4 linked regions of the Anolis sagrei genome follow. The protein of the gene in region 4 purifies or fractionates together with the protein of the main gene of each other region. This does not show direct contact. Links are inferred from orthologs where the notes say so. Each region holds a gene or a part of one and is shown on either strand. Other genes may lie near its edges.

Region 1 (7,186 bases), about 170 Mb from region 4:
TTCAGACCCTGGCCTTCAAAGTCATAATCCAAAATTCAAAACACTACATCATGTTTGCTTTGAACACATCGCTTGAAAAATAACTAAACCTGCTGTAGAAAAACAGCAGTCTCTTAAAAAGTGTGGTTGAAGTCTTTCATGGCTTTTATTTGTTTGATGCATACCTTTAGGGAATACTCAGGTCCTTTATGTGAGCCAAATCTCCACAGGTTACCCTGAGATTTAAAATTAAGACCAGGTTTCTGGACGGGCACTTGAAAAAGTGTATTGGTTTTATTGTTTTGTTATATTTTACCTCTTGTTTCTCTACTCACTAACTGATAAGAAGTGACCCAATAATATCCCTAAAAACTTCATACCTTCTACACTGCCATATAATCCAGATCATCAAAGCAGATAATCCAGATTATCTGCTTTGAACTGAATTATATGAGTCTACACTGCCATATAATCCAGTTCCAAGCAGGTAATCTGGATTTTATATGGCAGTGTAGAGGGAGCCTGAGTTTGCCAGATCTGACTCTAAATAACTTTTGAGTCCTGGTTTCTCTCAAAAATCTGTCCATATTTGAGTAGGGATGTGATTTGAATTCTAATGTATTTATTTATTTCTTATGTCCAGTGGTCCTCTCATCTTCACTAAGGAGTGAGAAGTACCAAGAAGTTGTACTTAGGGGTGGGATGCAGGAGAAAAAGACCATTTCCTGAATAACACTGGCGTCCTGATAGCAATGTGCAGTGCAGTCCTCTACATATTTCTTCATGGATTTTGTCCCAAGCAAGGACTTAAAGCAGGCATGGGTAAACTCTGGCCCTCCAGTAGCTGTTAGGAATTATGGGAGTTGGAAGTCCAAAATATCTGGAGAGCCAAAGTTTGCTTATGCCTGACGTAAGGAATAGTTTTGGGGAGCATCTAAATAAAGTAGAGGAAATGCAGTTTGACATCACTTTAGCTGTCATGACTCAGTGCTCTGGAATGATGGGAGATTTGGTTTTACTAGGCCTTCTCTGCCAAAGAGTGATGGCTCCTCACCAAACCACAACTCCCAGTACTAAATAAAATAGCCTTTAGTACTCTCTCCCAAAGGAGATCAGAATGGCCCAATTGCTGTCCTCCTTTAGGAAGCAAATAAAAACCTTAAAAAACCCATAACCCAGGCTCATGGAGATGTGAATGGTCAAAAATCTGGCCTTATGAAATAAGAATTTAATATTGCCATGGCTTTTAATCATGTTTTTATTGATACTGTTTTTAATTTGCTATTATTGTTTCACTTGTGATTTGTATGATTGTTGAATGTGCTGTTAATTTATTGCAGTCGTCTTATTGTTTAGTTATTATTAGTTTATATTGATGTTGTTTTATTTATTGTGTCGACTGATTTGTTGTTTTTCTGTTTTTATTATGACACTGAATGTTTACCACTTTTGATGGAAACCAGAGTCCCCATGGGGAGATGGGGTGGGAGAGAAATAAAGTTTTGCTTATTTACTTATTTGAGTCAAGGTAGTTAAAGTGATGGGAAGCTGCATTTGTTCCGTGGTGTAGTATATACATCCTTTGAAATCAATATGAACGGTGGCAATGTCTATGGGCCCTTCCACAAAGCCATATAACCCAGAATATTAAGGCAGAAAATCCCACAATATCTGCTTTCAACTGGTATGTATGGCAGTGTGGACTCACACAACCCAGCTCAAAGCAGATATTGTGGGATTTTCTGCCATGATATTCTGGGATAGAGGGCTGTGTGGAAGGCCTGGAGTCCACATTGTTTTATATTTCAGTTCAAAGCAGATAATGTGGGATTTTATTTAGCTATTGCAGAAGGGGACCAGAATCTCAAGGCAGAAAATCTCACAATATGTGAACTGGGTTATCTGAGTCCACACTGTTAATATATCCCAGTTTAAAGCAGATGTGGGATTTTATGTAGCTGTGAGGAAGGGGCTTCACAATATAATTGCAGAAAATCCCACAACATCTGCTTTGACTCGAGTTATCCGAGAGCCCTTCCACACAGGCCTATATCCCAGAATATCAAGGCAGGAAATCCCACATTATCTGAGTGTGGACTCAGATAACCCAGTTCAAAGGAAATACTGTGGGATTTTCTGCCTTGATATTCTGGGATATAGGGCTGTGTGGTAGGGCCCCCAAAATATCAAGGCAGGAAATCCCACAATATCTGCTTTGAACTGGAATATATGGCAGTGTGGACTCAAGATAACCCAGTTCAAAGCAGATATTGTGGGATTTCCTGCCTTGATATTCTGGGTTATATAGCTGTCTGGAAGGGCCCTGAGTCCAGACTGTCTTATAACCAAAGCAGATAATGTGGGATTTTCTTCAGTTGTGTGGAAGGGGCCTAGTCCTCACCTCTGGCGAACACCAGTGGTCACCAACCTTGGGGGTTTGGGACTTCATCTCCCAGAATCCCTCAGTGCTGTCCTGGATGTTTGGGGCTGCTGGGAGCTGAAGTCCGGACCACCTGGAGGGCCGAAGTTTGCCCGTGCCTGAGCGAAGGCCATACAATGCAGTGCCGGTGGGGCCTTAGGCTTGAGTCCCTCGAGTGTTTTGGACTTCGTCTCCCAGAATGCCCCAGTGCTGTCCTGGCTGGCCGGGGCTCCTGGGAGTTGAAGTCCCCCAAGGCTGGGCGCCCCAACGCCCGGCGCGGCCCAGGACCTCACCTCTTCCACCTCGATGGCTTTGTAGTCGATCTCCTCGAAGTTGAGCACGGGCTGGGTGTCAATCATGTCCGCGGGGCCGGCCGAAGACATCCCTCCGCCCGCCGAAGAGGCTCCTCCGCCGGGCCGGCTTCACCGGAGGCCCATGGCCCCGCGGGCTCGGCGTGAAGCGGGGAGGGCGAGGGCCGCTCCTCCGCCGGGCCTGTGCCCTGCTCCCCGGCCTCTTCCCGCTACTGCCTGCGAGGCCCAGGCGGAGCCATGGCTGGCGGCGGAGGAGGCAAGGAAGCCAGCGGCCCTCCTCTTCCTCCTGCCCGCCCGCTTCCCGGAGCCGCCCCGCCCCCTCCCCCCGCCCTCCCACGAAGGAGGGAGGCTCAGCCGGGCACCACCCCGCTGCTAGGCCTCAAGGCGGTGGGATCCCGGGTGGGAGCTCTCGTCTGGGGAGGCAGCAGCACTCTTCGGCAAGGGAAACGGGGGGCCCTATAGGACTACAGCCCCCAGGATCCCATAGCAATAGACCTTGGCATTCGGGAGTTTTGGTTGCTGGGATTTATAGTTCACCTATAATCAGAGATAAATGCAAGGCTGGGGTGAAAATTGCTGGAAGAAACCTTAACAACCTTAGATATGCAGATGATACCACTTTGATGGCTGAAAGCGAGGAGGAGCTGAGGAGCCTTCTAACCAAGGTGAAGGAAGAAAGTGCAAAAGCTGGGTTGCAGTTAAACATCAAAAAAACCAAGACTATGGCAACAAGAATGATTGATAACTGGGAAATAGAGGGAGAAAATGTGGAGGCCGTGACAGGCTTTGTATTTCTAGGTGCAAAGATTACTGCAGATGCAGACTGTGGCCAGGAAATCAGGAGACACTTCGTGGGAGGAGAGCAATGACCAATCTCGATAAAATAGTGAAGAGTAGAGACATCACACTGGCAACGAAGTTCCGCATAGTTAAAGCAATGGTATTCCCTGTAGTAACCTACGGATGTGAGAGCTGGAGCATAGGGAAGGCTGAGCGAAGGAAGATAGATGCTTTTGAACTGTGATGCTGGAGGAAAGTTCTGAGAGTGCCTTGGACCGCGAGAAGGTCAAACCAGTCCATACTTCAGGAAATAAAGCCCGACTGCTCATTGGAGGGAAGGATAGTAGAAGCAAAGATGAAGTACTTTGGCCACATCATGAGAAGACAGGAAAGCTTAGAGCTGGGGTCCTCAAACTTTTTAAACAGAGAGCCAGGTCATAGTCCCTCAAACTGTTGGAGGGCCGGATTATAATTTGATAAAAATTTGAATATGAATTAATTCCTATGCACACTGCACATATCTTATTTGTAGTGCAAAAACCCTTTAAAACAATACAATAATTAAAACGAATAACAATTTAAACAAATATAAACTTATTAGTATTTCAATGGGAGGTGTGGGCCTGCTTTTGGCTGATGAAATAAGGTTGTTGTTGTTGTTGTTGTTGTTGTGTGCTTTTAAGTCATTTCAGACTTAGGTTGACCCTGAGTGAGGGCCGCGTAAATGACCTTCGGGGGCTGTATCTGGCCCCTGGGCCTTAGTTTGAGGACTCCTGGCTTAGAGAAGACAATGATGCTGGGGAAAATGGAAGGAAAAAGGAAGAGGGGCTGACCAAGGGCAAGATGGATGGATGGCATCCTTGAAGTGACTGGCTTGACTCTGAAGGAGCTGGGGGTGGTGACGGCCAACAGGGAGCTCTGGTGTGGGCTGGTCCATGAGGTCACGAAGATTTGGAAACGATTGAACAAGAAACAACAACTGCAATCGGAGAGCATTCTGAACCCCACCGAGAGAATTGGGCCAAACTTCCCACACAGAACCCTCATGACCAACAGAAAAGCCCTGGCAGTTAAAAGTGTTGTCAAAGTATCAATTCCCCACTGTGTAGATGCGCCGAGGGAGTGCTACTGTCCTCATCGTTAAATATTTTAATAACTGTTTCAATAATCATTATGTGTGTTTATATAATTTATGCACATTTTTATACAAGATGTAACTGGTGGGTTATGTTAACATTTAATTTTTGTTCAATTTTGTCGTAGCTTTTGTTTACTTTTGGTATTTGAATAGTTTGTTTTTGTATTCTCTTTAAGAATGTGTTTTAGCATTACATATTTGCCATTTTTTTTTGTTGGAATCCACCCTGAGTCCCCTCGGGGAGAGAGGGCAGAATACAAATAAAGTTTTATTATTATATTGTTATTACTCTCCGCTAGCACTGAATGGAAGCCAACGGTGCCAGAGGGGTAAATCCTGTACAACTAATGCAGTTTGAATTGATAACATGGGTTAGAGCCCTTCCAGATAGCCATATAACCCAGAATATCAAGGCAGAATAACCCACAATACCTGCTTTAAACTAGGGGTCCTTCCAGGCCCTATATCCCAGGATCTGATCCCAGGTTTTCTCTTTAATAATAATAATAATAATAATATTGACCTCACAGTCGTGTTAAAAAACAGAGTATGGATAGTTGATATTCCAATACCAGGCAACAGAAGGATTGAAGAGAAACAACTGGAAAAGCTGACACAATATGAGGATTTAAAGATCGAACTGCAGAGACTGGCACAAACCAGTAAAGGTGATCCCAGTGGTGATTGGCACACTGGATGCAGTGCCTAAAGACCTTGGCCTGCACTTAAACACAATCAGCGCTGACAATATTACCATCTGCCAGCTGCAAAGGTCCATCCTACTGGGATCTGCATGCATTATTCGCTGATGCATCACACAGTGGGAAGTGTCCAACGTGTCATCCAATATAACAGCCAGAGTGATCTTGTTTGCTGTGGACGCATCTTGTTGTGTTTCAAATAATAATAATAATAATAATAATAATAATAATAATAATACTAATCATCATCATCACCTTTCTTTATAACCCGCCCTATCTCCCCAGGAGGACTCAGGGCATTTCCCAAACAAAAAGTGGCAAACATTCAATGCCATACAAAAACCAACTGACAGAGGGTTGCTATGAGTTTTCTGGGCTGCATGGCCATGCTCCTGGACCAGAAGCATTCTGGAATATGGCTATACATCCCGGAAAACTCACAGCAACCCAGTGATTCTGACCATGAAAGCCTTTGACAACACATCAAACAGATAGGCAAACCAAATCAAAACAATAAGTAAAACATCAATATAAACATATAATAACAAAAAAGTACTTAAAACAAACACTGCCCTCTATCCCACACTGCTCTCTATCCCAGAATATCAAGGCAGAAAATCCCACAATGTTTGCTTTGAACTAGATTATCTGAGTCCACACTCAGATAATGTGAGATTTTCTGCCTTGATATTCTGGGATAGAGGGTTGTGTGGAAGGGACCCAAGTCTTATGCAATCATAAGAGTTTTAGTTTTACCAGGTCTTCAGCTTTCTCTGCTCAAGAGTGCTGCTGCCTCACCCAACTATAGATCCCAGGATTCCATAGAATCAAGCCATAGCGGTTAAAAGTGGTATAAAACTGCTCTCTAACGAGCAGTGGACATATGTGATAAAGAGCATGATAAAAGGGCACCAGAGTTCAAAAATATTGACAAATTGGACAGTGTCCAGAGGAGGGTGACTAAAATGATCAAAGGTCTGGAGACCATGCCCTATGAGTAGCGTCTGAAAGAGCTGGGCATGTTTAACCTGCAGAAGAGAAGGCTGAGAGGAGACATGATAGCCATGTATAAACATGTGAAAGGGTGTCAGAAGGAAGAGGGATCAGGCTTGTTTTCTTCTGCCCTTTAGATTAGGACTTGAGGCAATTGATTCAAATGACAGGAAAGGGGATTCCACCTGAATGTTAGGAAGAATTTCCTGACTGTAAGAGCTGTTCAGCAGTGGAATTGTCTGCATCCGAGTGTAGTGGAAGTTCCTTCCTTGGAGGCTTTTAAACTGAGGCTGGATGGCCATCTGCCAGCAGTGCTTTGATTGTGCTTTTCCTGCATGGCCCATGCAGTCTCTTCCAACTCTATTATTCTGTGATTCTAATTCCAGGGTATAGATGCACCCAAGACCCCCCCACCACACACACACAACTCCCCCAATAAAGATTATTAAAAAAAGAAAGATCCCCCCCCCCCCCGGGTTCAGCACTTGCCTGGGGAGCAAGCTTGTAGAAAGAATAGTTTTAGTTCTTTGTCCTGTTTCCATGACCAAAATGCTGGATACAAGCCTTTTACCATTTTTGATATCATAGAATCATAGATAGGAAAATGATGGAAAGAATAATCTAATTTAATTTTAATATATTTTATCAGTGTGTTTTAACCATGTTGTATCTGGCCTCAAGCTGTGAGGAGAGACATTTAACAAATGAATAATAATAATAATAATAATAATAATAATAAGCTCCTGCAAGAAGATCACACAGACAGACTACAAGCAGAGGCATAACATCGTTGCTCAGATTATTCATTGGAACTTGTGCCACAAATACCATCTCCCTTTGAAAAAGGACTGGTGGGATCACAAGC
Region 2 (7,688 bases), on a different chromosome or scaffold from region 4:
AACTCAAAAAGAATAGTACAACTTCAAAAGGCGCAGAAAGGGCAATCAAAATAATAAAATAATTAGAGCCATTTCCCTAGGAGAAAAAGTTACAACATTTGGTTTAAGAAAACAAAACCTGGAGAAGTGGTAAGCAGGAAGGCTCCTGATGTGTATGTATACATATAAGCAAAGTGGGCAAAAAGCAGGCAGGCAAAGCTTTTCATCTTCTCATATATTACTAAAACGCTGGATTATTCAAGCAAACCAAACTGTAGGCAATTCAAAACAGACCGGACAAAACATTTATTCACACACCAAATATTTAAATTAGGGAATATGCCACCACAATATGCAGCAATTGCTATAAATGTGAAAATATATAAACAGGAATTAGGTAACGTCATGGAAGATATAGTTATCACTAACCAGTCATTTTGGAGGCTACAAACTACTTCTAGTATCAAAGGAAGTATATATTTCAAGACCAGTTGTTGGAGAATATAAATGTGATAGCAATACTACATTTACATCCTAACTAAGGGCTCCCCATAGAAATGTGGTTGGTCCATTGTAGGAACTACATGCCTAACTTGATGAGCTTCATCCAAGTAGCTCTTCTTATGTTCTTAACTTATTCTACATTTGGCTACTGCATGCGGATCGCAAAAACATCACTGTAGTCCAGAAAAGTCCTCACAACAGAGAGCACCTTGCTCCAAGAGACAATATTAACTAGACTGTTCTTCAAGGACAATGCTGTACCATTGTTTTCAGAACTGAAAACAGGATGCAGGGAAGCAGAGACTCTTTAATTTCAGCCAAGGAAAAAGGCCTATACTGTAGGTATGAGAAATCAGAGGAACACTGTCTGACACTTACACTCAAGACTTTTCTAATTCTTAAGTTAGAATTTAGTTCATTATTCTAAAACATCTGTAAACTTTCATCCATACAAAAATATTAGACAAATATGACAGAATGACTCTGAACTGAACTTCACTTGTAGCTATTTCTGCACACCAAACTTTCAATCCACCCCCAACCCCTCCTTCCAGTGCTGTGATCTGAGGGATCCCAAATCCAGTTCTCCCAAGTAATTTGTTTCACTACACCAGGGTTTCTTAAACTTTTCCCACTTGCAACCTCTTTCTGCCTTTGAAAGTTTTATGCAACCCCGGCTATAAAGGTATATAAAATAGGTATAAAAAAGAAATAAAAATTCACAGATAAAAAATCTGCATTTACAAGGCTAGTTAAACAGTCTGATTTTCCTTTCTTATGAAATGCAGCTGAAGTATTTTCTGTAGAGTCCACTGTAAACACAAATGTTCTTACTAACATTTGTGTAAATGTCTAAAATAACACTGACATCATGAATTAACCTTTTATTGGGTTGCTGTGAGTTTAATGAGCTGTATGGCCATGTTCCAGAAGCATTCTCTCCTGATGTTTCACCCACATCTATGGCAGGCATCCTCAGAGGTTGAGGGGTTTGTTGGAAACTAGGCAAGTGGGTTTTATATATCTGTGGAATGTCCAAGATGGGAGAAAAAACTCTTGTCAGTTGGAGGCAACTGTGAATGTTGCACTTGATCAACTTGAGTAGCATTGAATAACCTTGCAGCTTCCAAGTTTGGCTGCTTCATGCCTGGGGGAATAGTTTGTTAGGAGGTAATTAGCTGGCCCTGATTGTTTTTTGTCTGGAATTCCCGTTTGTGAATGTTGTTCTTTATTAACTGTCCTGATTTTAGAGTTTTTTAATACTGGTAGCCAGATTTTGTTCTTTTTCATGGTTTCCTCCTTTCTGTTGAAATTAAGGTTTTCATTTATTTATTGTATCAGAAGCAGCCCAAGGGTACAGTTGCAATGTATTTAAAAACACAAAGTTAAAAACACACACAAAGCATTATATTAAATGTCCTTTGACAGTAGCTTGTCACTTAGAGTGCCTATTAGAAGGTTCTCCATTGTGCATGTGGGAGGGCTCAGACTGAATTGTAATAGGTGGTCTGTGGTTTGCTCTTCTCCACATTCGCATGTCACGGAATTCACTTTGTGGCCCCATTTAAAGGTGATCAGTTTCAACATTCCCACCTGCCTCAAACAGACCAGAGTTTTTCTCCCAGCCTGGACATTCCACAGATATATAAACCTCAGTTGCAGAATTTCCAACCTCTGAGGATGCCTGCCATAGATGTGGGCGAATCTTCAGGAGAGAATGCTTCTGGAACATGGCCATACAGCCTGGAAAACTCACAGCAACCCAGTGATTCCAGCCATGAAAGCCTTCGACAACACATTGACCTTTTATTGTTGCTAAATGTTGTGATCCCAACACTGAACTAAGGGGACCCCCACATCTTTAAAGAAAAAGTATTTCTGATTGCCATCATCCACAACTCCTGCCCCATCACAAAACACATTGGTTCAAGATAATCTCTTTATCTGTATCTGTATACTTTCTGTGGCCCACCCCTTTTGCTCCTGACACTTTCCTTCCTTCCTTCCTTCCTTCCTTCCTTCCTTCCTTCCTTCCTTCCTTCCCCCTGAACCGGTCGCCTTGAAAGATAAGGGCCAGTCCAGGCATGTGGCTCCCCCGCCGCACGCCGGCCTTGTCTGCTATGAGAGTCTCCCTCGCCACGAAGATCTCCCCCCACACACACGCCTTGCTCTCTTTCTTTCCCCGGCCCCACTTCTCCCCTCAGTCCTCCTGCCCCGCCAGCCCAGTCCGAGCCCCTGCTTAAGCGAGGCCAGGCCTCCCCTCGGCTCAGGCGCCCTCCTCCGCGCCGCCCGTCCCACCCGACACTGGGCCCTTCCGCGGAAGCGCTCCCCCCTCAGGCCCTCCCTTACTAGGCCGAGCCCGGGCCGGACTGATCTCCAAGTTGAGGTCGATGCGCCTCCGGGCCTCCCTGTTCTCCTGCTTCAGCTTGGCTTCCAGGCGGGACAGTTTCTGCTCCAGCGAGGACGCCGCCATCTTCCCCCTCCCCCTCCCCCGGAGCCGACGCCGCCACCGCGCAGCCAGAATACACAAACACCGCACTGCGCAGGCGCCACATGAACCAACCCGGCCGCCGTACTCCTCCCCCCGCCCTCCTCCTCCTTCGCAAACCAGGCTGGGCTCCGGCTTTGCCCGGCGCTTGTTTTGCCTGGCAGTCTCCTCTCTTGCGCATGCGCCGGGCTCGAACGTCTACTTCGGTCTACGGGACGTGTTGGAGATCTGCCGCGCATGCGCTTCCCCCACTTTCTCAGGGACAGGAGCAGCACGTCTGGAAGTCGCAGAGAAGTTAGCTTTTCTTTCAGACACTGGGTACATCTGCACTGGAGAAGTAATGCAGTTTGATACCACTTGTATGCATCCTTTATTTCTGTATTTTATTGTTTTTGCCAGGGGGTATAGTGAATGTATGATGTTGTGTTGACTGTTTATTGTTTATGTTTTATTTTGCACTTGTTGTATTTTGCATGTCACACTTTGAGTGACATGTGTGAGCCGCCCCGAGTCCCTCTGGGAGATGGTGGCGGGATATAAATAAAAGTGTATTATTATTTTACTGACACAGTGTGTCACAGCAAACGAGATATATATGCTGGATTTCGTATCACAAAATCACAAATCGAAACACTTGTTTATTATTATTATTATTTTTAAATAACATTAAATGTTGAATATAAAGAATATTAAGTGATATTAATTTTTATTATTATTTGAAATGCAACAAGATGAGTCCATAGCAGACACTCTGCTGGCTGTTGTATTGGATCATACGTCGGACATTTCCCAAGTGTCTAGGTCTGTGTGATGTATCCGCATATAATGCATGCAGATCCCAGTAAGGTGGCCTTCTGCAGCTAGCAGATGGTAATTTTCTCAGCACCGATTGTGTTTAAGTGCAGACCAAGGTCTTTAGGCACTGCACCCAGTGTGCCGATCACCACTGGGACCACCTTGACTGGCTTGTGCCAGAGTTTATTATTATTATTTTGTGATTTGATGAAGCACCAGCAGTCTTTGTAAAACTACAATCCCCAAGATTCTGGGAAAACATAGGATTGCAGGAGCTTGGAGCAGAAGTGGGATCATCTTGGCTGATTCTAGCAAACCTTTTTGGCGGGAGAGGCAACACAGTGCTGTCTCTGATGCCCAAGTAGAGAAGGACTCCCTGGAGGCTTTGTGGCCAAAATGGTGATGCAGAAAGCAGTGTATCCGCTTGAGAGTCTCAACCTTTGCCTATGTATTTTTGAAACCAAATTAATGTTGCGTGTCAACTGGAAATTAAAACCAGAAAGTCAGAATGGAATATCCTTGGTATGTGTCTCTCTTGCCTGTAATCCTGAAAAATAGCATATCTGCAGTTCCAGTTCTGTACACATTTCCTCCAGATCCCACTTGATGAATCAAATAGGAAGGCAAGAAATAAAAATGAGGAACAAACAACTTGGTACCATTTTTGACTTCATAATAAAGTGTCACTGGGGATCACAGTCTGTGGCATTTGAGAAGCTGCTTTATATGCTGTCATTGTGAGATACATCAGATACCAATAGATGCCTCAGTACATATTTTTTGTAACACAATGATTAAAGAGACCCAGTTTGAAAGCTCAGAGAACTAGGTCTTTGTTAGTTGCTTTGAATCTCTGTCTCACATTTTTAAAAGGGGAAGACTGGACTTCTAATAGAAAAGGCATGTTAAGAAATAATGCACCATCCAAGAAAAAGAATTGCCACCAAGCTGTAGTTACAGTCTCTTGGGAGCTGGTGACATCAGGGATCACAAAATTGTTAATATCATTAGTATTATGATGTTTATTTATATCCCACTTTTTCTCTCCATAAGGATACTCAAAGCATCTAGCATTAAAAGCATTACAATATAATTTAAAATTTAAAAATATTAAAACAGTATTAAACATCATCAGTATTAAAAACAATTCAGATTTAAACCATAAGAATATATAAAACCACAGCACCCCCCGAAATGATCTTAAAGGCCTTCTTCTTTAAAAGCCTGCCTGAAGAAGAAGGTTTTAGCCTGCCGCCAGAAGGACAGCAGGGAGGGAGCCAATCTGCCTTTGCTGGGTAGAAGGGAGTTCCAGAGTCGTGGGGCAGCCACCGAGAAGGAAGACCCGCTCTCTTGTCCCCACAAACCAAGCTTGGAGTGGAGGTGGGACTGAGAGAAGGGCCTTCCTGAAGATCGCAGGACTCAGACAGCTTTGTACAAAGGCACGCAGTCAGCCAAATAGCCTGGACCTGAACCATCTAAGGTAGGCATGGGCAAACTTGGGCCCTCCAGGTGTTTTGGACATCAACTCCCACAATTCGTAACAGCCAGTAGGCTGTTACAAAATGTGGGAGTTGGAGTCCAAAATGCCTCGAGGGCCCAAGTTTGCCCATGCCTGATCTAGGTCATAACCAGCACTTTGAATTGTGCCTGGAAATAGACAGGCAGCCAGTGGAGTCTGGTGACATCTGAAAATACTATACTATGTTATGCTAAGGTACAACAGTAACATTGAGCTCCTATGTATTAACAGTACTTTTAGTGGCAATAGACTTTCCCATTAGTAAAACCGACTTTTTTATATTCCTGTAAAATTTTCCTTGTGTTTTTTTTCCCAAATTGGGTACATTGTGGGAAGTTAATATCATGTAAGAAGCTATATCTTACTTTACACCACACTACTAGTCCATTAGTAAGCTTCCTCTTTTCCAATTGCCTTAATAATTGCTAGGCTGCTGCAGTGTTTTAGTGACATTTCTTCGTATGATCTGAATGTTTTTCCCACTTAGGTCCTTCAGTGACACAAGTCTCATATATCTTTTGCTCGCCTATTGTGTCTTAAGAATTTATGGAAACATAACATTACCAAAAATTGCCCTGACTGGAAGAAAAAGAAAACTTAAAACCAGACAGATGTGGATCATCTTGTCTCTTTGACTCTTTTCAAAAGAGTTGAGTTGTTCTGGTGTGTTGTCCTTTATGATATTGGAAATGATGGGTTTGGTGGAAAGTTTAGAGTCCTTATTCAGTAGCCTGGAAAATGTTACTTTTTGGACAGCGAGTCCCCAAATCCCCTTGCAGTGGATTTACTAAAGAGTTACTTCTTTAGACAGCAAGTCCCCAACCGCTTCTGCCAGACACTTGTGGGTGTGGGGAGATTCTGGGGGGTGTCCCATAAAAGAACTTTACCAAGCTTTGATTTGGGAAGCGTTTGTGTGTTGGTAAGTAAGGTAAGAAAATTATGTCCTCTCCAGCCTCCAATACCCAAATCATGGTCAAGATCAGCATCTGAAGGGCAGCTCCCACTCATTGCTGAAAGGAAGATGGCAAAGCGCCATGAGTATAGTTGGTCACACTGGTCAGCCATGTGCAGCAGGAAAGCAAAATCATTGTATACCTCTGGGATGTCAATTAAGTGGCTGCCTTCTTGCATTTGCTTAAAAGAATACTTGAGCAGCGGTTGTCGTACCAGCCATAAGAGGGGGTACATCCCAACAAGCCCATAGAGGAACACCAAGAATAAATAAGTAGCCATCAGTTTCTGCAAAATGGAAGCCAAACTATGGGTACAAAGAAAGGTAGAGTAGCCAATGAGGTTATCTGTGTCTAACCAGCAAATGTGTTTAAAGGCAATGGATCCTACATAACTGTAGGTGTAGCCTAGCACAGTTAGGACCTTTGCAACTTTGAAGATGGTTTGTCCAGTGTAGATTGTGTAAATCAAGCTGGCGCTCTCAGTGTGTGCCCTGAATCTGCAGATCTTCTCAAAGAGTGCCCAGCCTTGCTCTTTGTCCTTCCATTCTAGAATAGGAGAAGAGGAAGGTGATATCAGTTGGTTTTGGCACCCTCCTGCACCAGGGGTCTTGGGTCGGCCTATGACATGCTGGCAGGCCATCTCGGAGAGAGCCTTGGCAGTCCAAGGTGACTCGAAGCATTTCATGAGGATAGACAAGAAGTGTTCGATTTTTGATGAAGTCTTAGGGTACCTGAACCAGAAGTTGCTACTAGCCATTAAAAGCATCGAGTTAACAAGTGCAAGGTAAGGGAAATATTTTGAAAACCAGGGCAAGGCCTTTTGATAACAGATGTGGCTGATAAACAAGTATTGCTGGTAGTCAAGTTTCACAGGATGGCCACTTTTTCCAGCCATAATTTTTTCATTGATGGCAGGATTTATAGCTCCAGGTTTAGAGGTAACTGTTGTGGTCTCATTTGGCTTGTTGCTCAAAGGCAGACATGTCACTTGGTCAACAGAGATGAGCAAAGTCCCAGAGAGAAGCGAAACCATCAGCATTGCAAGTACTAAGTAATCCATCAGGACATCCCACCAAGGCTTTAATATCTGGAACCGAACATGGCTCTCATTGCGGAAGGTGACTTCTGTCAGAGTAAACATCACTAGAAAAAAAAGAATATGAATTCAATAACGTCATTGTTTTTCTCTTCCATTTTTCACTGATAAAAGAGCCTGTGTGATTCTATTCACAATAAGAGCCCAGATCTGTGTTTACAACTGGATTTTATATTTCTAGGAATTTTCTCACAACCACCTCCCTTGCTCCCAGGCTGTTTATGAGTTAATGTGTGCGCCATTTTCTACTATAGCCTCCATTGAAAATTTACAGAACCTTCCGTGCTCATTGCATTTCAGGACACCATACAGAAGATAACAGAACCTCAAGATCAAGCCAGTTTTATTTTTCAA
Region 3 (7,684 bases), on a different chromosome or scaffold from region 4:
TTTCATGGCGGGGGGGAGGGGGGAGGCCCGGTCGTAACTATGAGTTGTTTGTACATTGGATGTTTATAACTTGAGGATGGCCTGTATAAGTAAACTCGGTTTTTTAAATCATCTTTTGGGTAGCTACAGTAGGTTACTTTGATATTATTTGTATAGATGAAGAACAGGGTACTGTTTTTCCTCTGGGTTTTACTGAAGCTAAGAAGAAAACAGCAATTCTACCATACACCATTACATAAAAGAAGACTGGAGGTATGCGTACACAAGTTTTGTCCAGAATACATGGCAGTTACATACTATTCCTGAACTGTATTATTTCTCTCAAGCACCCAAGGGAAACAGGAATGAACCACCACAGAATCTTCCAGTAGTGATTGAATACTAAAATACAGCTGGTCAAAAGTGAATCATACATTGATTGGAGCACATCCAGGTATGAACCAGCAGTAAAGTGCCACTGCAAATGCACCAAATGGCATCTTATGTCACTGTTGTGAAAACTGAAGATTGTATAATGCTTGGTCATGTTCTATGATATATATATGTAAGAAAATCTTCAAATAAAAAAAATCACAAGATTAGCTAACATATATTATTTATTCATTGAAATGTAAAATATGCATCTGCACTAAAATTAAGTAATACTCCCTAAAACAAGAAGTACGCTTCCATGTCTACTAAACTGCAAGAGCAGAAATTACATGATCATTCCCTATAAAGTATATAAATTAGAAGTTACTGATACTATGACATTGCATGTACTGGTAAACATGTGCGCTCAAACCATAGCATATAGCTTATTAACTATGCTAGGTCATTGTCGCCTTCATGAGAAACACATGTGAAAGTAAATCTCACTGAGTGTATTTGTGTACAACAGAGTTGCATGGGAATAGATAACAACACAATTTGTTATAGAGGTGCAGCTCCAAAATGTCAGCTAGTTTTGGTTTTCTGTAGATTTATCCAACAGAAAACATATTGGATTTGGATTTGAGTCTCCATGATTGCAACATCTGTTGTAAACCCTACATTTACTGATTGCACAGTCAACTTATATAGTAATCTGACAAGTCAAATCTCCCAAAATCACTTTCCCGCTGTCTTAGGAATTAGTGATTTCTCCCAATAGTGAACATATGTTCAAGAAAGTTATTAATGTATTTTTCATATAAGGAAAGTAATCGATAAACAGTAATAAAATTGAAGAAAATAAAATAAACATCATGACTGAGACATACTATAGGAAGAGAACAATCTTTTGCTAGTAAAGAAACTAACTGCCCTAACCAATCAGTAGAAACAAATCAGTCCAACAACCAATCTTAAAAGGCAGTATATGAATTTGAGGACAGCAGGATATAACACAACCCAGACTTAACAATCTCACATACATAACTTTTTAAAAGAAGAAACAAACAGACACCTACATGCAAAGCAAAGTAATAATGATGATGATAACTATTTTATTCTTATATCCCACCACTATCTCCCCAAAGGGACTTGGGGCAGCTTACAGATGGCACAAACAAACATAAAAGTAAACACAACGTAAAATACAATACAATAAAACAATGGACATATAAAAACATCAATTCAGACTGCAATCCTCTAACCGTGGAGGTAAATTGATGGCAGCGTGGCCAGGCTATAAACACTGGAATAAAATAAGTGCCATCCACGAAGAGTCTAGAACTGCCTCCAACACCAACATCTCCAATAAAAATAGTGCAATATATTGTGGCTGGTTTGAGATGGCATTTTGTAGTTACACAAAATGGAACTTGTGCAATTGACCCTTAAAAGTAAACCTCATTAGTAAATTCATTTGAAACCCTACTTTCAAATGAACAGGTGCAGAATTGTGCTACTAATTCCCATCTCCTTAACTACCCCATGTCATAGACTAGGGTGGGAATCATAGTACCTTCCAGATGTTGTAGGGCCTCAGCTAGCATCACGCCTAGATTTGTGCTTCAACACCTGGAGGCCCACAAGACCCTATTTCCCAGTGGTTCTCAACCTGTGGGTCCACAGATGGTTTGGCCTACAATTCCTAGAAATCCCAACCAGCTTACCAGCTGTTTGGATTTCCGGGAGCCGAAGGCCAAAACATCTGGGGTCCCGCAGGTTGAGAACCATTGCTATTGCCAGAAGAGACAGCTGGATTCACTGATTAATGCATGATGTTCACCTCAAGCAGGGATGATGAAGAGGATGTGTGAGTGGACCAGGAGGGGAAATGGCTTTCCTGAAAGTCTTTCTCCTCGCCAAAAAAGGAGACCTTGCCCATCGCATCCTCCAAACCTTAAAACAAGGGTCCACAACCGTAAGCCAATGCTGAGATTCGCAATTCAACATCTGGATGCCCACTATGGCCAGCAGAGACAGTTCCCTGCACTGATGATTGCAAGATGCTCACCTCCAGAAAGCGCCATATGCCTAGCCCGTGAAAACGATGGGTGCAAGTGGCGGGGGAAGGGGGGGGGTGGCTCGGGAGAGGCTGCTGGCCCAAGGAGGAGGCCTGGCCCTTCACGAACAAGGGCCAAAAACCCTCTCCGGGGCCAAGCCGCATCCCAAGCCTCTTCTCCTGGCCAAAGAGCAGGCGAGGCGGAGGGGAGTGCGGCCCCCGAGAGGGGAATGGGCAAGGCGCGGGGGGGGGGTAAAGGTCGCCCCGATCTCCGAGGCCTCGTCGGGCGAGTCCCAGGCCAGGAATGGCTCTAGGCGGGGGCGCAGGCCGAGGCGGATGGTCGTAGCCGCCGCCGCCGCCCCCCTCAAGGTGGCTCGGCCCCCCTCCCCTCCTCCCCGCAGAAATCCCGCTCGCTCCTCGGCCGCACCGTCGGCGGCGCCTCCTTCGGCCTGCCTCACCTCCGCGACACCCGCTCTGGGAGGCGCACTCGGCGGCGGCGGCGGCGCTCGTTCCCTCCAGAGGCTCCCCAGACTCTCCAGCTGCAATGGCCTCCCTCAGTCTCTCACAGGCCGCACCAGGCCCCGATCTGCTGACGGACACCCGCGCGCCCAATCCGCGCTGAGGACCTCCCAGGCTCAACCAACCAGCCCTCGGAGGCGGGGCTTAAAGGCCACTATATATGGCGGGAGGCGCTCTGCGCGCCTTCCTGTGTCACCGAGGGAGGGGAAGGAAGCAGGGAGGGGACGAGGGAAGCTTTTGAGCTCATGTCATCTGCCTTTGAATTTGACACTCTCCCTCACTGTCGAGTCCGGAGTCCTATTATTATTATTATTATTGACACAAAAGCACAGTATGTCACAGCAAACGAGATCTATATGCTGGATTTCGTATGACAAAATCACAAGTTGAACACTTCTCAAGCGTCTAGGACTATTATTATTGTTATTATTATTATTATTATTATTATTATACAGACAAAAACACAGTATGTCACAGCAAATGAGAGCTATATGCTGGACTTCATATCACAAAATCACAAGTCGAACGCTTCCCAATTATTATTATTATTATTATTATTAGAAACACAAGATGAGTTCACAGCAGAGAAGATCACTCTGCTGGCTGTTGAATTGGATCACACGTCGGACACTTCCCAAGTGTCTAGGACTGTGTGATGTATCAGCAAATAATCTGTGCAGATCCCAATAGGGTGGCCCTCTGCAGCTGGCCGATGGTAATTTTGTCAGCGCCAATTGTGTTTAAGTGCAGGCCAAGGTCTTTAGGCACTGCACCCAGTGTGTCGATCATCACTGGGACCACCTTGACTGGCTTGTGCCAGAGTCTTTGCAGTTCAATCTTTAAATATTTGGCAGTGTGGACTTAGATAACTCAATTCAAAGCAGATGTTGTGGGTTATTTTGCCTTGATATTCTAAGTTATATGGTTGTGTGGAAGGGCAGGAAGGAAAACATAATCAATATTAGTTATCAAAATACTTGAAGGGAAAAACTGAGAGGAACATGTTTTCTTCTTTCTGTCTGTACTCATATGTACAAACCAAAAGGACTTTCCAAAGCCAGTGAGGCACCAATTAATAGATGTTTATTATGAGTTGGATCCTACTTCAGTATACCTGCAGCACATGATGTTTAAATGGATGCATCTTAGTTTTGGCTAATTTGAGTGCTCCTGGTCCACTTTTTCCATCTTGACCCAATCCTGGTCAGTGTCAGCATATAAATCAAATTGTAGTTCAAAAAGTGGTATGTCATGGGCAAGGAAAAACAGCTGACTCAAGCACTATGATTGTAAATAGAAAAAAGCACCCCCAACAATGAGATAAATCTGCCTTGACCTAGCAATGAGATACATATTTAAAGTGGCAGTTTGATCACTCTGTCCTCATTTCAATTAATTGTGTTAATTGTAACTGTGTGTTTTTTAAAGGAATTTTATTAAATTTTATATAGAATACAACGAAAGAGTGAGAACAATTAGGTATAGAAAAGTAAAGAAAAAAGAGAGAGGGAAAGGCCAATAAAGTAAGAAGTAAAAAAAGATATCCTAAATAAAACCCTACAAAATCCACATACAAAAAAAATAGAAAAATAAAAATAAAGAAAAAAAGTGACTTCCATTCCATCTTCTTGGATAAAATATTCTTGTTATTCAAAAATATATTTTTTTTATTAAAGATAATAAAATTGTCTCTCTTGTTTTTTTATATTCGCAAATTGTCCAGATAGTCATGAAGATTGTCCCAATTCGTTCTTTTTATTATCATGCCTGTATTTTTCTTCAACAAAAAAGTCAGTTCGTCCATGTCCTTTATTTCTCTGATTTTTTCCACCCAATCCTGTACGGGTGGTACTGTGCCTTGCTTCCACTCTCTAGCAAAAACAATTCTAGCAGTGGTCGTTGTATATGTAAAAAGTTTGTCCTCTTGTTCCGTCAAAGATTTCAGGGTAAGGTTTGAGCCAACCAGTTTTTGTGCTCATTTTATAGTTGAAGGCCATTCACAATTGCCATTCTCAATAGAGGGAGAACATGATGAAGGGCAAGCATGTAGATTTATAGGGTTTATGCTGATTTGAAGGCATAGGACTGGAGAAATGGCACATGGTGCCTTGTATGGCCAACTCATCTCTGTTTGCCACAATAGTGTCCTAATGGCTCACTGACAATTCTATAAGGAGTAAAAGTAATAGCTCTCTCCTATTAATTCCCAGCAAATGGTGCTTCCCTGAAGTTGATAGTTTCAAACAACATACCATTACTTGGGGCCATGCATAAGACATATCTATTTGTGTAATTCCCTTTCAAAGTTATGCAAGCTAGTGGTAATTACATCTTGTGGCAGGTAATTTTATCAATTAACTGTGATTTGTATGAAGATATTTGCCAGGAAGATTCAGAATTCTAGTGTAGGAAAGAAATATCTAATTTGCCCCTGTATATAGGTACTTATATTTCAATCGTGGCTTGCTATCTATCCATATACAATCATACACAGCAGATGCCACCCTAAACACAAGAATCCAAAGGTGGCATAGACAAACACAATTTAAGACAGACTATATTGTATGGTTATACTTTTTAGAATAGGCAATTTAAAATAAGTGAGAATCACCTGAAACTTTGCAAATGATAAAATTGAATTAAAATCAAGTTGACTTCAAAGGGTTTAATAAAAAAAATGTGCTTACTCAGTGCCAGAATGCTTTGTATCAATGTTGGATACCCAATGGATCTCTGAGGGAAGGATATTCCACAATTTGTGAATATCCGTCCTATCATACATGCCTGCCCTCTTTTAGTTTGGGATGCAAAGGCTGCCTTTTTTTTAAAGGATGTTTATGTACACAATTCTTTTGGGGCAATTAGTACTTCAGTTTTCAATAAGATAGACAGGTTAGAATCTTTGGATACAAGAGCACAGAGGCATCACAAAGCTCCTTTCTTGCCCAACTTCATCCTTTTATATCTTTTCTATAACTAGCTACCACCTTAGTATTTCTGGCTATTGGTTTTTGTTGTGTATTGTCTGAGCTTTAAGGCTGATGTTTTTATACCCATTTATTTGTGTTTTATCTGATTATGTTTTGTTTTGGTATGTTTTATTTTAATTGTATTTTGTTTTTAATGGATTGTTTTGCTTTTATGTTTTTGCCTTATGTACTGAGTCATGCCAGCCGCATGACCTTGGAGGTGTCTACGGACAATGCCGGCTCTTCGGCTTAGAAATAGAGATGAGCACCACACCCCAGAGTCGGACACGACTGGACTTAATGTCAGGGGAAAACCTTTACCTACTGTGGACGTTTTGTCCCATGTCTAAGCAGCCCTGAGTCCCTTTGGGGAGATGGAGGCAGGGTATAAAAATTATTACCACACACTAAATTGATAGTGTCATTGAGCTATACAGTTGTTTCTGTTTCCTTGAATTCTTTATCCATAGATTCAATCATCCACGGGCTTGTAAATATCCCTGCCCGCCCCCACCCAAAATCCAAAAAACAAACCTTGATTTTGCCATTTTGTTTAAGACATTAATTTACCATAACATTGTTTATAATGGTACTTGAGCATCCATGGATTTTAGTATCCAAAGAGTGTCCTGGAACCAAACCCCAGCTAATACAAAGGGCCAATTGTACTCATATTGAGATATACTCGTTGAACCACCTCAACATCTCTTTATAGGTGAAACCCCAGCTGCTCAGGCATTTTCACTGTCACTGGTGATTTCAGACTTTTAAAATGTTAAGCTTTTCTTCTCTGTAGAGCCCTATCCTAAACTACAATTTTGAATACCGCTAAAGCAAGATCCAGGGCCCACTTTTCCATGCCTAAGACCTCTGTGTACTCCTTTCCCCACAAATTTGGTCCCACAAGCTTGGCTGTGAGACCAAGCTTTCAGGATGATGCAATAAAGCAGCAATAGGAAACCTTACCAGGCCAATTAGATTGGACGCAGATGATCAAGACAGTTTTAAACAGTGTATTTTAATATTTAGACAAATGTTTTTAATGTTTATGTATGCATATAATGAATTCTTATCCTGGCATTGAATGTTTGCCGTATATATGCTGTGCTCCGCCCTGAGTCCTCTTCCTGGTTAGAAGGGTGGAATATAAATGTTTTAAATAATAAATAAGTAATAAACACCAAACAAACTGGTCTAAGCATCAAATTTTCTAACACCTTTGACTTTTCAAAAGGCACAGGGGAGGCTAACCTTGTTTAAAAGGGAAAACCACAGTTCCAGGTATAGCAGTTTCAGAAGGGGGATTTTTTCCCTTTGCTTATTTATTTACAGTATTTATATACTGCTTTTCTCACCCCTGGGGGGACTCAAAGCGGGTTACACAGAAATAATGGCAAAATTCAATGTCTTACATACATAAACCAAATCACAAATCAACACCATATAATTAATCATAAAATTAATAGGACAATTTACTATAAGATAAGGAAAAAAAGACATTTAAAATGTGAAATATAAGAATTAAAACACCTAATAAAAACATTAAAATCACATGATCCAAACGCGTAGACCAGGCTATTCCAATGTCGATGCGTGTACAGACATGATCCAGGGGTCATAGAAAACAACTTGGAAGGTTGCTGGCTACTATTGTGAGATACTAAGAAAGCAAGACGGAGTGCTGTGGACTGGCATGTGTACAGTGTCTAAGAAGGAATCCATGAAACACACACTGTAATCAATATTTTCTTTAATTGCATAGCATTTGAGCTGTTCAAAAAGAACC
Region 4 (6,931 bases):
TTCTTCTCCAGATCTGAATGCTTATGGAAGCAAATCAAAAGAAAACAAAATTGTGTGTGTGTGGTGGTGAGGTGGGGCGGGAGGACATGGCATGCTTCCCTCTTTTTTCATGGAGATCAGAGATTGCTCAGGGTTGTTTGAGTTTTCTGGGCTGTATGGCCATGTTCCAGAAGCATTCTCTCCTGATGTTTTGCTTGCATCTATGGCAGGCATCCTCAGAGGATGTGAGGTCTGTTGGAAACTAGAAAAATGGGGTTTATATATCTGTGGAATGTCCAGGGTGGGAGAAAGAATTCTTGTCTTTTTGAAGTACATGTGAATGGCCATACAGCCTGGAAAACTCACAACAACCCAGGGATTCCAACCATGGAAGCCTTTGACAATACAGAGATTGTTCTTCTAGCATTGTACGTATCTGGACTAGATGAAAAGAAAGCAGTGGTTTCTTTTTGACATCTGAAAATGCCACGTGACAAAGTTTTATGGTCTCTTGTAAAGGTTAAATATTAGGCTTCTGAAAGCTCAAGCTTGTAAGAAGCAGACTTGAATAATGTAAGCTAATCTAGTGGCGTCATCACTGTATCAGAGATGTTTTTATTTGTAGGTAGCTTCTTTGCCCATTACTGTTTGTGACAAGTCATAGACTGGATAGGCTGGAGACAGGGTTGCCTTTTCTATGGGGAATCTTGGTTCTGGAGACAACTTGATAATTGAAGGTTTTCATGACCGGAATTACTGGATTACTGTGAGTTTTCTGGGCTGTATGGCCATGTTCCAGAAGCATTCTCTCCTGACGTTTCCCCCACATCTATGGCAGGCATCCTCAGAGGTTGTGAGGATCTCACAACCTCTGAGGATGCCTGCCATAGAAGTGAGTGAAACATCAGGAGAGAATGCTTCTGGAAAATTGCCATATAGTCTGGAAAACTCACAGCAACCCAATCTTCTCTTACTAACATTCAGATCCCAAGATACACAAGACAAACAGACAGCTCTACTCAGACAAAACCCATTAAGTCACAGAAAATCTCATTTACAAAGTCATAATCAATCACTAAAAACCCCATCATCTTCCATTCCCAGCCCCATGAAAAGTGACATATTTTCTTGCAACCAGTCCAGGTTGAAGGCACTCTAAAAATCTTGCAACATGGAGAATCGATTGAGGAGCTTAGTTTCTCTTCCAGTTCAGAAAACATTTCCCTCTGCAATGCTTTCAAATCAGAAAACATACTGGATATTTAGAAACCAATAATCATAGGTTTGTAAAGACAATTCTTAATTCCCACAATTAAAAAGCAGATAAACATAGAACACAAACCAGACACAAGCAATTAAATGAGCAAACATGGAGGAGCTGAATTGCTACCCAGAGGCAGGATGTACCTTCAGTGGTAGGATCATGTTACAATGTTCAAGAAATCATCTCAATAGCCTATGCAAAGATGCTTGAAACAGGTGGTTTCAAGGCCTGTCTGGTTTGTATTGTCACTTCATCCTTGTAAACATGACATTTTTTCTCCTAATGGTTCAAATCCAATATGGTGTCTAATATTTACCACCCTGATTCAATCAGCTATAAATCTGCCTTCAGGATTGGCTTCCAGATTCACTTGGAAGAATAGGGAGAGGGGCTGCTTCACGGATGTCCATGTTTATCAGTGTGGCGGTCGCTATTTCCTGGGAAGATGCAAGATTTGTCTGTGGAAGCTGCTGATATGGAAGGAATAATGAGGGGAATATGTAGGGAGGTCAGAAACAGTGTGAGGTAGTGCTTGGATTCAGATAGGGTTGTGTTGGGTGTAATACTGTGGGGCTGAGATAAGGAGAACAAGGAAGCAGGGGTGTCTGTGCCAGGCAGCTTGAATGTCAGTGATATTTGGAAGATGTGAGGAGGGACAACACCCCCCCTTCCAAATAACCTCTTTCCTTCCAAATCAGCAAGACAAATGCCACTCCTCCTCCTCCTCCCCCCAGCCCTGGTTGTTCTGTTCCAGAGGCGCACACGTCAGCCACACTCCTGTGCCCCACCTGTTCCAGAAAGGGAGAGGCGCTATTGGCACCCACCTGCTGGGCAATGCCACCATTCAGAGGATGTGTGGGGAAGATAGATTACCCACTGCACCCATTATTGCCTCTTGGTTCCTTAGAAAGGTGCCTGAAATGGAGGAAATATGGGAATGGGGGTGGGTGGGTGTTCCATTTCTCCCCACCACCTCCTCATCTTTCAGTGCAGAGCATCTTTCACCTGCATCCTTATAATAAACATTCAGCTGAAATAGACAGATTGATAGACAGGCAGAGAGGAAGGATGGAAAGGTTCTTTCAAAGCACATAGGCTAAAGGGGGGGGGGTGTTGTGGGAGGGGGTCTATGAGAATCCATTGGGGAAGGGAAGGTGGGCAAGTGGGGGGCAGAAAGGAGGCTGTGGCTCCCCCTTTTCCTCCTCCTCCATCTCCTCTTCCCTTGTCCTTCTCCCCCAGCATCTCCTTCTGGGAAGGGCCCCCAAGGATGAGAGAGAGGGGAAGGAAGGAAGGAAGGCTCCCCTACCTGAAATTGGGAGGCGAGGCGAGGTGCAAGCCCAGGAACGGGGAGGATCCGGTCGGGGACGTGGCTCCTTTCTCTCTATCCGCCATTCTCCCTCTCCATGCAGGCGGGCAGGGGAGGAGGAGGAGGAGGAAGATGAAGAAGAGGAGGAGGAGGCAAGAGGCTGCTGATGCTGGTAGAAAGGCAGAGAGAGACAGGCGAAGAAGGCAGGGCTGAACTGGTGCTGCCCCAGAGCAGGCGCGGTTTCAGCAGCTGGGAAGGTAGGAGGAGAGCAGGGAGCGGGTGAGGAGGGGGAGAAAGCAGGGGTCCCTCTCCTCCTCCTCCTCCTCTTCTGCAAGGGGAGCTTGGCCCCCTCCCCTCTCCTCTCCTCTCCTCGCTGGCGCCCCGGGGAGCTGCGGCGGAGGCAGGTGAAGCCGGGCCGCCCCTCGTCGCCAGGCAGGTGGCCGCGAAAAGGAGGGGCAGCACGGCGTCAGCAAAGGCGGAGGAGGAGGAGAAGGAGGAGCCCCTCCAGAAAGGACCAGGGGGAAGCAGGTGGGTGGGTGGGAGGCAGGGAGGGAGGGAGGCCAGAAGGAAGGGAGGGAGGGAGGGAGGGAGGGAGGAAGGAAGGAAGGAAGGAAGGAAGGAAGGAAGGAAGGAAGGAAGGAAGGAAGGAAGGAAGGAGAGATTGATGGAGGGAAGGAAGGAAGACGGGAGGGAGGGAGAGAAAGAGAAGAAGGAGGGAGGGAGAGAAAGAGAAGGAAGGAAGACAGGAGGGAGAGAGAGAAGGAAGGGAGGGAGAGAAAGGGAAGGAAGGAATACGGAAGGAAGGAGAGAAAGAGAGAAGGAAGGAAGGAGGGAGAGAAAGAGAAGGAAGGAGGGAGGGAGGGAGAGAGAGGAGGAAGGAAGGAAGGAAAGAGGGAGGCAGAGAAAGAAAAGGAAAGAAAAGAAAAGGAAGGCAGGCGGGAAGGAGAGAAAAAGAGAAGGAAAGAAAAAGTGAAGGAGAGAAAGGGAAGGAAGGAAGGAAGGAAGAAAAAAAGAAGGAAAGGGCAGCTCTTCTTTGTGAAAAGCTAGGGAGGCAATTAGAGAAGGAAGGGCTTGACTGCTGGCCCTTCCAGACAGGCCCAATATCCCAGGATCTGATCCCAGCTTTTCTGTTTATCCCAGATTATCTGGCAGTGGGGATTCATATCATCCAATTTAAAGTAGAAAACCTAGGATCAGATCCTGGGGTATAGGGCCTGTCTGGAAGGGCCCTGGGAAGATGGGCTCACCTTCCAAGCCTTTCGGGGAGGAAGAGATGATAATGATGATGGTTGTGGTTTATTATTCCAGTATATTTTAACTGTATATTGTTGACTGTTATATTATGCTGTAAACCGCGTTGAGTCGCCGGCTAGGCTGAGAAACGGCGGTATATAAGTATTTAAATAAATAAATAAATAGAGTTTCACTTATCCAACATAAACGGGCCGGCAGAATGTTGGCTAAGTGAAAAGGTTGGATAATAAGGAGGGATGAAGAAAAAGCCTGTTAAACATCAACATATATTATGACTTTACAAAGTAAGCACCATAACATCATGTTTTACAACAAATCGATAGAAAAAGCAGTTCAATACATAGTAACATTATGTAGTAATTACTGTATTCATGAATTTAGCACCAAAACATCTCAATGTATTGGAAGAGCAGTGAAACTGGGCAGGAGACAGACTGCGTTGGATAATACAGAATGTTGGATGAATGAAGGTTGGATAATCAAGACTCTATTGCTATTTTGAGTATTCCTTCTCCAAAATGCTTAGGACCAGAAATGTTTTGGGTTTCAGATATTTTTTCCCCAGGATTTTGGAACCCCTGTCTTTTCACAGACATACATCCTTCATCTTGGAGATGGAACCCAAGTCTAAACATAACATTGATTTACGCTTCATAAACATCTTATATACAAGCTCATGTTATAGACAATATTTTTCAATAATGTTATGCATGACACGATTTGGATACATTGAACCATTAGAAAGCAACAGTTTCAGTCTCTCAGCCACTCATGTGGACAGTTTCAGGTTTAGAAGCATTTCAGGTTCCAGAATTCTGGGTAAGGGGTGCTCAAAATGTAATGATGATAGAACTAATTAAATCCCATGTCCTCAGAAAGTCTTTAATGACAAGCTGTTTGTTGTTGTTGTTGTTGTTCAGTGCCATGCCCCCTTGAAAGTCTTTGATTATGAAGATAGGACAGGCATGGGCAAACTTCGGCCCTCCAAGTGTTTTGGAATTCAACTCCCACAATTCCTAACAGCCTCAGGCCCCTTCCTTTTCCTCCTCAGCCAAGTGGCTGAGGAGGAAAAGGAAGAGGCCTTAGGCTGATAGGAATTGTGGGAGTCGAAGGCCAAAAGACCTGGAGGGCCGAAGTTTGCCCATGCCTGAGATAGATAGCAATGACAATTCAGTGCCAAGGGTGTGTGCACTGCATTTCCCTGCTTAAACATGTGAGCGAGGGGAGGTCCAGTGAAAAAGAAGGGAATCTCAAATAAGAACCACCAAGTCCCCTATTATTTAAGGCCACTTTTTTCTTGAGGATTACTGGGATGAAATCGTAAGGGTATGGCTTCTTTGTATTGATTACATTCATGTTCATATATGTTTCAATTTACAGTGATCCCATTAATTTGTCTTTGGCAAGGAATACTTAGAGGTGGTTTTGCCAGTTCCTTCCTCTAAAAAGTAGCTTCCAGCTCTTAATTTTCATTGACCATCTCCTCTGCTGTTTATCTAAGCATTTCAAGGCAGTAGAAAGGCAACTCCGCCTCACTGTCAGCAGGGAAGGAAGCTTAAGCAGAGCCAGAATGAATGAGCAATGGTTATCCAGTGAGCGCACGGAAGAGCAGAAATTTGAATCTGTGACCAGCCTCTCTTCCTAACCAAATACGGCTCTACCTCCACTCTTGCTCTCAACTTCAACAGGATTCGTATATAGGTGATCTGGGAAGGAATTCCAAGCATGAGTAGCAAGAGAGAATAAGAGGAAGGAAATCTTTCAGTACCTGTCTTAAGAGGTGAGCATAAAAGAAGGAAAGATTATGGATAGGATATAAGAAGAAACAGGCAGAAACATGGGGTAAAATGAGTCAAAATTGGATAGGGTGGAACAAAACCATAAAGATCTTTCAAGACAAGGGCAACGTCCTCATGCTAGATGGCAGATGGAATGAATGACTAAATGTAAAGTCCTGAGAAAAAGGACTGGAACTCTAGTAATGAGTAAGTTGAATAATGTAATGTACTGGCTTTTTATTCTATTGCAAGAGCCTGAAATTAGCAATATTATTTATTTATATTTTTTTAAAGAGCAGCTTTACAGAATACACATATGGCAAACATTCAATGCCGATTATGCAATAACAGGACAGACCACACAACAGAGGTAAAGGCAGTTTTCCCCATCTTATTTCTGGCATCTTGAAGACTGTGCTTGACTCCAGCCATGGTTGGGGTGGAGGTATTTAAGGCACGTGGAGGTATTTAAGGCACACATAAGAAAATGCCAGAAAAAATGCCAGCCATTTGATCAAGGAGGAAGTTTACAAGCAAAGCTCTTTGGCAGGGAAAGTGGAGTGGCAGCACCCTCCACCTCTCCCCATGGCCGGATCCAAGCACAGTCTCCAACATGCGGAAGATGGGAAAGCCTATATATACCTCTTTTTATGTACAGTCATGTGTCCTGTCAATGTATAACAGCACTGAATGTTTGCGTGTATGTGTTCTGTGATCCACCCTGAGTCCCCTTCAGGGTGGATCACAGAGTGAATACTGTATATAAAATGGAATAAATGAAACTATTTCTAAGTACGGAAGTTCTTCCTTAGGAAAACCTCATCAAATTCATAGGGTCTCCGTAAGTCAACCGATGTCTTGAAGGCTCATATATACAAACTTCAAGACAAAGACTATCTCATAAGGTTTTTGTTCCCTACCAAACCCACAAGGTAGTTATTAACTGTACAAAGATCAACCAAAAATACTATCCTTCTTAAAGCATAACAAAGAAAAGTCTCCCACTGCAGCAATGTTATTACAACGAAACCTGAATAATTTGTTTCCTTTTCATATCACAGAATCAGCTGCTTGAAGCTTCTCAGTCCGATGGTTCTTACAGGCGGGAAATGAAATAAAATCCAAGGATTATTAAACCAATTTAAATGTAACACTATGACACTAATATATAGAATATCTTAATATTTAGAGACAACCAGGTATTCTGCCTCAGGAAAGCTTTCTAAAAATCTACATGGAAATCAAGCACTCATCTGGAACCATATCTGCTATGATTTGTGTCAGAAAAACACTGTCACATCACTACAGCCTTTTTAGTGTTATATAGAGCCCAAAACCTCCATTATTTGA

What was found.
Region 1: the proteins of MAPK8IP1 (region 4) and MAP3K7 purify together in Homo sapiens (pull-down; 3 studies listed by BioGRID and IntAct, with this or other methods). This does not show direct contact. The link is inferred for Anolis sagrei from reciprocal best matches to the Homo sapiens genes MAPK8IP1 and MAP3K7.
Region 2: the proteins of MAPK8IP1 (region 4) and MAP2K7 purify together in Homo sapiens (affinity purification with western blotting; 3 studies listed by BioGRID and IntAct, with this or other methods). This does not show direct contact. The link is inferred for Anolis sagrei from reciprocal best matches to the Homo sapiens genes MAPK8IP1 and MAP2K7.
Region 3: the proteins of MAPK8IP1 (region 4) and MAPK9 purify together in Homo sapiens (affinity purification with western blotting; 4 studies listed by BioGRID and IntAct, counting the BioPlex papers as one, with this or other methods). This does not show direct contact. The link is inferred for Anolis sagrei from reciprocal best matches to the Homo sapiens genes MAPK8IP1 and MAPK9.

What each region holds. Positions count from the first base shown.
Region 1 is NC_090021.1:104,198,671-104,205,856, reverse strand, and holds the start of MAP3K7 (mitogen-activated protein kinase kinase kinase 7), read right to left. Parts: upstream 3,012-7,186; 5' UTR 2,782-3,011; coding exon 2,692-2,781; intron 1-2,691. UniProt on the Homo sapiens protein: Serine/threonine kinase which acts as an essential component of the MAP kinase signal transduction pathway. Plays an important role in the cascades of cellular responses evoked by changes in the environment.
Region 2 is NC_090022.1:112,614,078-112,621,765, forward strand, and holds the start of MAP2K7 (dual specificity mitogen-activated protein kinase kinase 7), read right to left. Parts: upstream 3,013-7,688; 5' UTR 2,957-3,012; coding exon 2,833-2,956; intron 1-2,832. Other genes in the region: volume-regulated anion channel subunit LRRC8D-like, read right to left, coding at 6,081-7,379. UniProt on the Homo sapiens protein: Dual specificity protein kinase which acts as an essential component of the MAP kinase signal transduction pathway. Essential component of the stress-activated protein kinase/c-Jun N-terminal kinase (SAP/JNK) signaling pathway.
Region 3 is NC_090022.1:87,597,306-87,604,989, reverse strand, and holds the start of MAPK9 (mitogen-activated protein kinase 9), read right to left. Parts: upstream 3,009-7,684; 5' UTR 2,869-3,008; intron 1-2,868. UniProt on the Homo sapiens protein: Serine/threonine-protein kinase involved in various processes such as cell proliferation, differentiation, migration, transformation and programmed cell death.
Region 4 is NC_090021.1:277,861,529-277,868,459, reverse strand, and holds the start of MAPK8IP1 (C-Jun-amino-terminal kinase-interacting protein 1), read right to left. Parts: upstream 3,003-6,931; 5' UTR 2,636-3,002; coding exon 2,550-2,635; intron 1-2,549. UniProt on the Homo sapiens protein: The JNK-interacting protein (JIP) group of scaffold proteins selectively mediates JNK signaling by aggregating specific components of the MAPK cascade to form a functional JNK signaling module. Required for JNK activation in response to excitotoxic stress.